2 linked regions of the Notamacropus eugenii genome follow. The protein of the gene in region 1 purifies or fractionates together with the protein of each later gene. This does not show direct contact. Links are inferred from orthologs where the notes say so. Each region holds a gene or a part of one and is shown on either strand. Other genes may lie near its edges.

What was found.
Region 2: the proteins of RAB27B (region 1) and SYTL4 purify together in Homo sapiens (co-immunoprecipitation; 3 studies listed by BioGRID and IntAct, counting the BioPlex papers as one, with this or other methods). This does not show direct contact. The link is inferred for Notamacropus eugenii from reciprocal best matches to the Homo sapiens genes RAB27B and SYTL4.

What each region holds. Positions count from the first base shown.
Region 1 is NC_092875.1:436,370,596-436,374,504, reverse strand, and holds the start of RAB27B (ras-related protein Rab-27B), read left to right. Parts: upstream 1-1,205; 5' UTR 1,206-1,628; intron 1,629-3,909. UniProt on the Homo sapiens protein: Small GTPase which cycles between active GTP-bound and inactive GDP-bound states. In its active state, binds to a variety of effector proteins to regulate homeostasis of late endocytic pathway, including endosomal positioning, maturation and secretion.
Region 2 is NC_092879.1:92,449,483-92,453,391, reverse strand, and holds the start of SYTL4 (synaptotagmin-like protein 4), read left to right. Parts: upstream 1-1,442; 5' UTR 1,443-1,630; intron 1,631-2,334; exon of another isoform or gene 2,335-2,339; 5' UTR 2,340-2,448; intron 2,449-3,445; 5' UTR 3,446-3,909. UniProt on the Homo sapiens protein: Modulates exocytosis of dense-core granules and secretion of hormones in the pancreas and the pituitary. Interacts with vesicles containing negatively charged phospholipids in a Ca(2+)-independent manner.

The sequences.
Region 1 (3,909 bases):
CCAAGTTGCTTAGAGCACTTAGAAGTTAAGTGACTTGACTAGGGTCATACCATCGGTAAGTGGCAGAAGTGGGACTTGAAATCAGATTTTCCTGGACTGGAGCCAGCGGTCCATGCCCTATGTCATTCTGACTCTTTTATACATTAATAATAAAACACTGGCCATTGACACAGGATCAACATTTTTTTAGACTAAGAGGGAGATGTGATTAACAATAAAGGAAGTCTGGGGATCTTTGCCTACAGAAGAAATGGACAGACCTGTTTGGAAGTCACGTAGCTTCTATCCCAGGTCTCCTAAAATTCAGTCTCATACCCTTTCTGCTACTGCCCTAGATACAATGTTGCTTCACATTCGTTTGTTGATTCATTTTGGCCTCATACTTAATTCTGCTTCCACTCCCCAAATGGATCATGGGGATAGAGGGTGTAGAAATAACAAGGGAAGCAGGATCTAAGACCTCCTAGCCACTCTTCCTCCTCAACTTCCTCTCCCTTTCTCCCCCTCCGTTCTTCCCCCTCTTCTTTCCTCCCCTCTCCTCCCTCCTCCTCCTCTTCCTTCACCCTGGGGCAATGGCTCTGTGGTTAAGTCTATTAGACACACCTAAACCAAGTGAAAATCAAGGAAACCAATCAGACTGCATTGTCAACTGTGATGCCAAAGACCTCCTTTGTCCTTCCTTTCAAAAATGTGTATTTTATTTATTTATTTTGCCAAGTTGATTCCATTAACTGGCTGTGGGGGTTTCATCTAGAGTAGACACACACAGCCTTAGCCAGGTTCCATTACCATCTGCAGAACAGAGTTTTAGCAAACACAGGTACAAATATTTACTCAAAGTACCAGAAGTCTTGTAATAATTTACGTGTTAGATCGCTTTGGCATTAGCCTTTGTTATTATTAACCAAACTTGTGAGATGTCTGCAGGAAGCAGGGCTTGGGCTGTGCATAGCGATAGCCTCAGGACTCTCAACTTTAACAAAGCTTAAGTCCCTTTCCTCCTTTTCACCCCGACCCTTCCTCTGCCCCCTAACCCTAACCCTCCCTCCCCGTAGCTAAGGCTCTTTGGGGAATACTGTGGTTTGGAAGCGTTTCCCTCCAGTGCCCAGGGCCCTAGAAAGAAGCGGCTGCGTAAACGCAGAAGATAAACGACCAGGATCCAGCCGTGTGCTAAGACTTGCTGCTGGAGAATTCCGCCAGCAGCCGCCGAGCGAGTTGTCTTTCCAGGCAGCTGAGTCACAAACCAGATTTGCCGGAGGTGAGTTCCTCATATCCTCGTTAAGGCTCTGGAGGCACGCCTTCTTTCCATACAAACCTTTCAGATAGAAGCTGCTTCAGCCGACTTCAAGGGGGTGGGTGGTGCCACCGGAGAACTGCAACTGCCAGTCTTGCCGGACGGGGTCTGGGAGAGAAAGGCAGAGGGCACCTCGGGATTCAAAAAGAGGGTACCTCTTTCCCCCACACACCCCCTATGACTGTCGCTTGCTAAACACCCAGTTCTGCTTTCTACTGCCGCGGTCGCACCCCGAGAAGCTGCACAGCTGGGACACCTCTGGCTGAAGGGAGAGGGAGCCGGCTGGGAAACCCGACACCCAACCCTCGGCAAGCCAAGGAAACTTCGCACGCTGGTGAGTTGGGGAAGCCGAGCGGCCGCCGGCAGGCAGTGATGGCTGGAATGCGCTTCCCCCGCTCAGTGTAGACGCGTCGGCCAGCTCGGTAGCCGGCTAGGGAGGAAGTGAGACGTGGAGACCGAGGTGCTGTGGGCCTGCAAAGAAGCAGACAGCTGCTGGGGTTTGTGCTTTCTCAGGCTTGGCGTGGCAGCCTGGAGACGCGCGGTTTCCAGCCCTAGTCCGACAGGGAGAAGGCGTTGGCATGCAGGGCACGCAGCAGCTGGAAACTTACTTGGAGGCTTTTGTGGGATATTTGCATTTGAAACAGCTGGATTTGTTTAGTTCCTTTTTTTACAGTAGTGTAATGCCAACTTCTTTCAGCTTGGTGGGATGTCAGTTAGAAATAACATGTTTCTGATCTGATCTTTAGAGAGAAAATGAGATTGCCTAAGGCAAAAGAGTCCAGTTGAACCTTTCACTAGGTTCAGAAAACTCAGGAGTAATATTTATTTCCCACTTAAAAAAAAAAAAACTTATTTGCTTTTGTTTTGAACTAAATTTGGCATCTTTTATTTTGATTCAAGGGGTCACAAGGTATTAAGCTTCATTCAAAGGATTTCTCAATCACAATATTGGGAGTCTGAAACCTAAGGATGTCCATGCTAAGGAAATGCTCAGTTTAAAAGGCAGAGAATGTGTCAATGAAAGCAACTTCTGATAAATGCCTGCTACCTGAGAGCACAGAGCCAGCTGTTTCTGTCCAGAGCTAAAATTAGTTGCATGACCCTGCAGGTGCTTGTAAGAGATGTCATCAGGCCAAAAAGGAAGCTCTGTGCCTTTAGTGTTATGGACAAGAGAACTGACATATAGGTCATTCACATCTGAGTAGCAGAGTCCCCTTTCCCTCAGGGTGCAGTTTGTCAGCCTAAAGTAGTACTCAGTATGAGTCAGATTTTGATGATCTAAACTTTGAAAAGTGATAGATGAAAGCTTTTTAACCAATCAATGCTGGATTTTACAGCTCTGTATTTTGGGACATGAGTTTATTGTACTAGCAAGCTGTGACATTGGTAAGCTAGTCATCACCCATAAATCATAACAAAGCTATTTTAAGGCCAAGTAGAATGGGCGAAATGATAACTAGCTTCATGCCATTTATGGCATTTGCCCCCAAACAGTTGTTCATATTCCGTAAATGTTTTCTCCTCCTCTCCATGAGATCAGGCCTCCCTGCTGCAAAAAGGAGAATCCTATAGAGCTGAAAACATATTCCATTCATGGCTGAATAATTTAATATTAATAAGCTTTTTTGCTTGCTAAAATATACTATGCACACTGCACTTGAGTTTTTACATCATTGCTTTCAAAAGGAGCACAAAGCAATTTCCAGAAGAAACTGGATGAGCCTGTTCTAGTAGTTGCCAAGGAGGGATAAAAGGAAACTGTCAAAAACCTGAGCAAATGACAATTCCTCCTTCTCATCAGTTTTTTCCCCACCCCTTGGACCCAAACATGTTTGACTTGACAGAAAAGGAAACCTTTTGGAAACGGATATTTCTTCTCTGCAACTTAAGTCATTTGAGCAAATGCAAAGTTAATTTGCAATGTTGTCCTAAGATTTGCTTTTTCTGGTTTAATGAACTATTTGGGAAAGTGGAAGTGGCCTGAAAAAAATACTGAAAAAAAATCTGCTTATTTTTAATGTTCAAACAGGGAGACTTCTGCTGAATTTCATTAATCTAAATACTAGTTTACTTGACCCAGATTCTGCAACAAAATGTTAAGAGATTGATAATGCAAGTGGGAGGGTTCTGATCTGGATTAATCTAGTTCTTTGAGTTTATTGGCTAAAGATCTGATATTTTAGCAGTAGTACAAGATAGATGGCTATTATAGCACTGCCTTAGGGAAATAAAGAGAGAAAAAACAGAGAAAGTATAAAAACAGTCCTTTGCAGTAGTGATGATATATGGTACAATGGTTAGAACCCTGGGCTTGGAATCAGGAAGACCAGAGTTCAAATATGACCTCAGGCACTTACTAGCCATGTGACCCTGGACAAGTCACTTACCCTCTGTGTTAGTTTCTTCTACTGTATGATAGGGATAATTATAGCACTTATATCTCAAGGTTGTCATGAGGATCAAATGAGAAAATATTTGTAAAAGTGCTTAGCAAAGTGGATGATTAGTAAATACTAGTTTTCTTCACCTCTTAAAGGAAAGTGGCCCTGTCTTCACCGTTAGGTAAGCTTACAAACTCATAATGTAGAAACCTAAAAGAGATGATAATAAGATTC
Region 2 (3,909 bases), on another chromosome or scaffold:
ACCCCATTCTCCGTTATTCTCCATGATCTTAGCAGGGGCCCTTGTTGACCACTCAGGAGGGAGTTACACAGGCTAACCCTGCTTTAGGGTGCAAGGCTGCAAGACTGGCAAATGGTGCTTAGACTGAGGTAGACCATGCAGTGTTCATGGTGCCAGTGGTTCTCCAGTTCAGGAAAGGGCTAGTTTAGTGTGAAGAACCCAGCCTGCTTGTAATGAGTTTCAACATAGACTTTCAGGTCCTCCATTCCTAGAACACTTACGCTTGTGGCTGTGGTTGTCGGATTCCAGTATTAAAATGAGGGCTGGAGGAACCCACAAGTCTGTACCCAGGAGGTAGCACTCTGCATATGCTGGTCAGAGAGGAAGCTTAGTTGGAGTGAATTGTCAGGAATCCCACCTTTGACACTCACTGGCTGTGTGGCCCTGGGCAAGTCCCTATCATCTTTCCAAGTCTCATTCCTTTGTTATCAAGGGGAAATAGTAATACATCTGTAGTCCCCTCCTCCCTAGAGGTTGCTTTGGGATCTTAAGACATAAGGGTCCTCACTTTGATTGTTCCTGTATGGGGAGGTCTGTTTTTTTTGTTTACTAAATATCCCAGTTCTTTACCCAGAAGGCAGACCTACCAGGCCTGCTCCTGTGGTTTGTCAAGGCTGAAGAATGAATTGCTTCTGACTCCTTAGGGAGACTACAGGATGCTCTTTGAGTGTAGCCTGGGTTCTACAAGGCCTTCGCTCCTTGGCATTGAGGTATTCTGTTTGGTTTTGGTCGCTGTTGCCTGGCGTGTTTGTGTAGGGTGAGTAGGGGGACAAGTCTAGGGAGCAAGACTGGTCCCAGGCCTTGGGAGAAGAACATGGCCAAACAAAATCCTGCCTGGGCAGGTGGTGTCACAAATCCACCCATACTGAAGTGGAGCAGGGATCTCCTGGCCTGCTGCTGGGACAGTCTCCGAGGAGCAGGGCTGGGGGCTGGAGGGGGCTCACTGGCACGCTCTGGGGGAGCCCTAGGGCCTGCAGTGGCAGTGACTGTCCCCTGGATTGGGGGCTGGAAGAAGGGGCGAGGGCCTTGGCCCGACAGCTGGGAGCCTTGTGCCTCGGTAGGCAGCCGCATTTTAGACTGTCACTTGTTTGTCCTAGCAGACCGAGTGGGCACGTATCCCCAAAAGATGTATTCGATTCCCCGTCGAAGCCGGCGCACACACGGGCCACACCGGAACACGAACACACGGACACACACAGGCACACACGCCCTCATTAGAAATCCAGCCTGCCCGAGCCGTCGGGAGGGCAGGGCAAGGGCGGAGCCAGCTCGAAGCCGGGAGGGGGGAGGCCCGGGGCTTCTCCAATCGCGAGCCGGAGCGCGGGGGGTGGAGGTGGGGCCTCCCCGAGAGTTAAGGGGCGGAGTCACCGGCTCCCTTTAAATAAGCGGCCCCGCCCCGCTCCCTGGAAAGTCGTGTCCCTTTCCGCCTGCTTCGGTTGCGCGAGCCGAGCCACTGGCGGCTAGCGGTAGCCGGGACCTGGGCGAGAGACGGGACCCACAGAGATACAGAAACCGAGAGCCAGAGGGAAAGCCCGACCCGCTGATCTCCGGCCCCTGCCGAAGTCCCACCGCTCCCCGCATCTCCAGCCAGGTGATTCCGCGGCTCCTCCGCCCCACTCTCAGAGGCTCCATCCCGGCTTGGCCCCGGGCCCCTGCCCAGGCTGGCCTGCCCTCCCCTTCCGCTCCCGCTGCTCCCGGCTCAGCTCCGCTCTCTCCGCCCTTTTCCTCCGCTCGCCCTCGGGCTTGTTCCCTCCTGCCCCTTCTTTCTCCACCCTCTGTCCTTCCCACTCTTTTCTCCCCGGAGCTTTTGACTCCTTGGTCTCTCCACTCAAACCCGCCCCGACCGTCGGGGTCAGTTGGAAATCCAGCTGTGCCATTTAACCGGCTCTGAGTCCTTAGATAAGTCACTCCCTTTCCCCTGCCTCAGTTTCCTTGTCTGTACAATGAGGGAAGATTGGAGTAGGTGGCCTCTAAGGTCCCTTCCAGGTCTAGAGCTACAGTCCTGTGATGCTCACTCTGCCGGGAGGGAGCACCCCCTTGCCCCTTCCTGACTGGTGCCTTCCCGTTCCTAGACTTCCCCTGGCGCATTTTACTTCCCCCAGCTCCCTGTCCCTTTCCAAGTTTCCCTGCTTCAGCTCATCTTTCCCTCTTCCCCCTTCCGGGCTCTCTTGGGTGCTCTGGGCCCCACCCCTCAGGTCTCCTGTCAGAATACTGTCTCCCTGTGCGCTTTGAGGGGAAAGGGAGCATGAACCAGCATCCCACCTTGGCTGAGGGTAGCCTTTCCTTTCCCTTCAGCACAGATTGGCCTGAGGTTGTGCCTCGCAGATCCCCTCTGGATCGTTGGACCGTCAGGAGGACCTTAGAGGCTGATCTACGGCATCTCCTCTTCCTTCCCTTACCCCTGCCAAGGTAAAGTTCGGAGGCTTTTTGTGTAGCAGGATGGTCCAAGGCAGTGTCCGTTCCTCCTGGGGCTGAAGGTCTGCTGCTAAGAAATATTTAGGGAGAGGTCTGCAGGCTGGCTTGGAGGACTGAGGTCATTTTCCTTGGTCCTCCAGACCAGACAGTATAAGCCTGAAACATCACTCTGGGAAAAAGAGGCACAGAGCATTAACAGTCGTAACTGGGAGCGTTTTTAGCCACTGGGGGGGATTCCTTCCCGCCAAGGAAGGGCTAAATCCTCAGAACCCCAACCTACCCACCTAACCCAAGCACCACGAGATGCATTGGGAGATTCTTGGGAAAGATATGTTTTCCAATAGAAAAAGCTCCCAGACTTCTGTTGTTTAATGAGATGATTGCCTTTCATAGCATCTAGCCCTAGTTGAATAAATATGTGGGCTCAGTAAAACCAATTACGGTGACTTGAATAGCCTTTAAAAAAAAATCAGGTATCAGAAGAAGGAAAGATGGCATTAGCCCTGGTGTAGTAAATGTGGATTTGAGAGCCTGCTGATCTGGGGAAAGAGGGGCCAGACCTTTAATTTAATGAATGTACCCAACTCCCCATGAGAGGAAACTCTACTGTAGGCAGATGAGATGTGAGGGTGGGGCTCAGAGCACCTAAGGGAACCCTGAAGGGGGAAAGGGGAAAGATGAACTGAACCAGGGAACCTTGGAAAGAGAGAGGGGAGAAAAGCAAAATCCCCCTGCTCTGCCACTCAGAACCTTAGAGAGCTAACTGCCCAGGGTCACACAGCCAGTATATCTCCGAGGCAGTACTTGGACCCAGGTCTTCCAGATTCAAGGCTGGAAGTGGGGAACACTCAGAACCATCAGTCATGAAGAACATTTCATGCTCTGCTTCCTCCCCATCAGGAAGGAGGAAGGGGAAGAGATCTCATGCTTTGTCCTCTTCCATCAATGTGTCTCTTAACTTTGCTTTAACTGTTTTTTCTTTTGTTTCAAGTGAGTATTTATGGGAAGTGGGAATGGAAGTGGGGTTTATATCCCGGGATGACTTCATTGTATATGGAAAGCATCAATGAAATGACAAAAACCCAAACCTGAAGAAGGATCCAAGCTGCACGAAAGCCTCGTTCTTCTCTGAGGGCGTTGTTATGCTCCTGAGCAGGGTGATTTCCTATTAGACTATCAGCAGGACATTTGTCGGTCTTTTATGATATCTGGGTAAGCAAGATGAAGGAACAGTAGGTGGGATCTGTAATTATTTGGCACTCTATTGAAAAACTGGAGAGAAGTATTTAGTGGTGTGCCATCAGGCTCTGCCCTTTGCTCACTTCTGTTCAGTTTTATTAATGGCTTGGAGGAAGAAGAATAATCACAAAGTGTTTTGTAGGCTGTACTGTTTGTTACTCACAACAACCCAGTGAAGTAAGGAGGGAAACAAGCATTTAGTCAGTGCCTGTACTT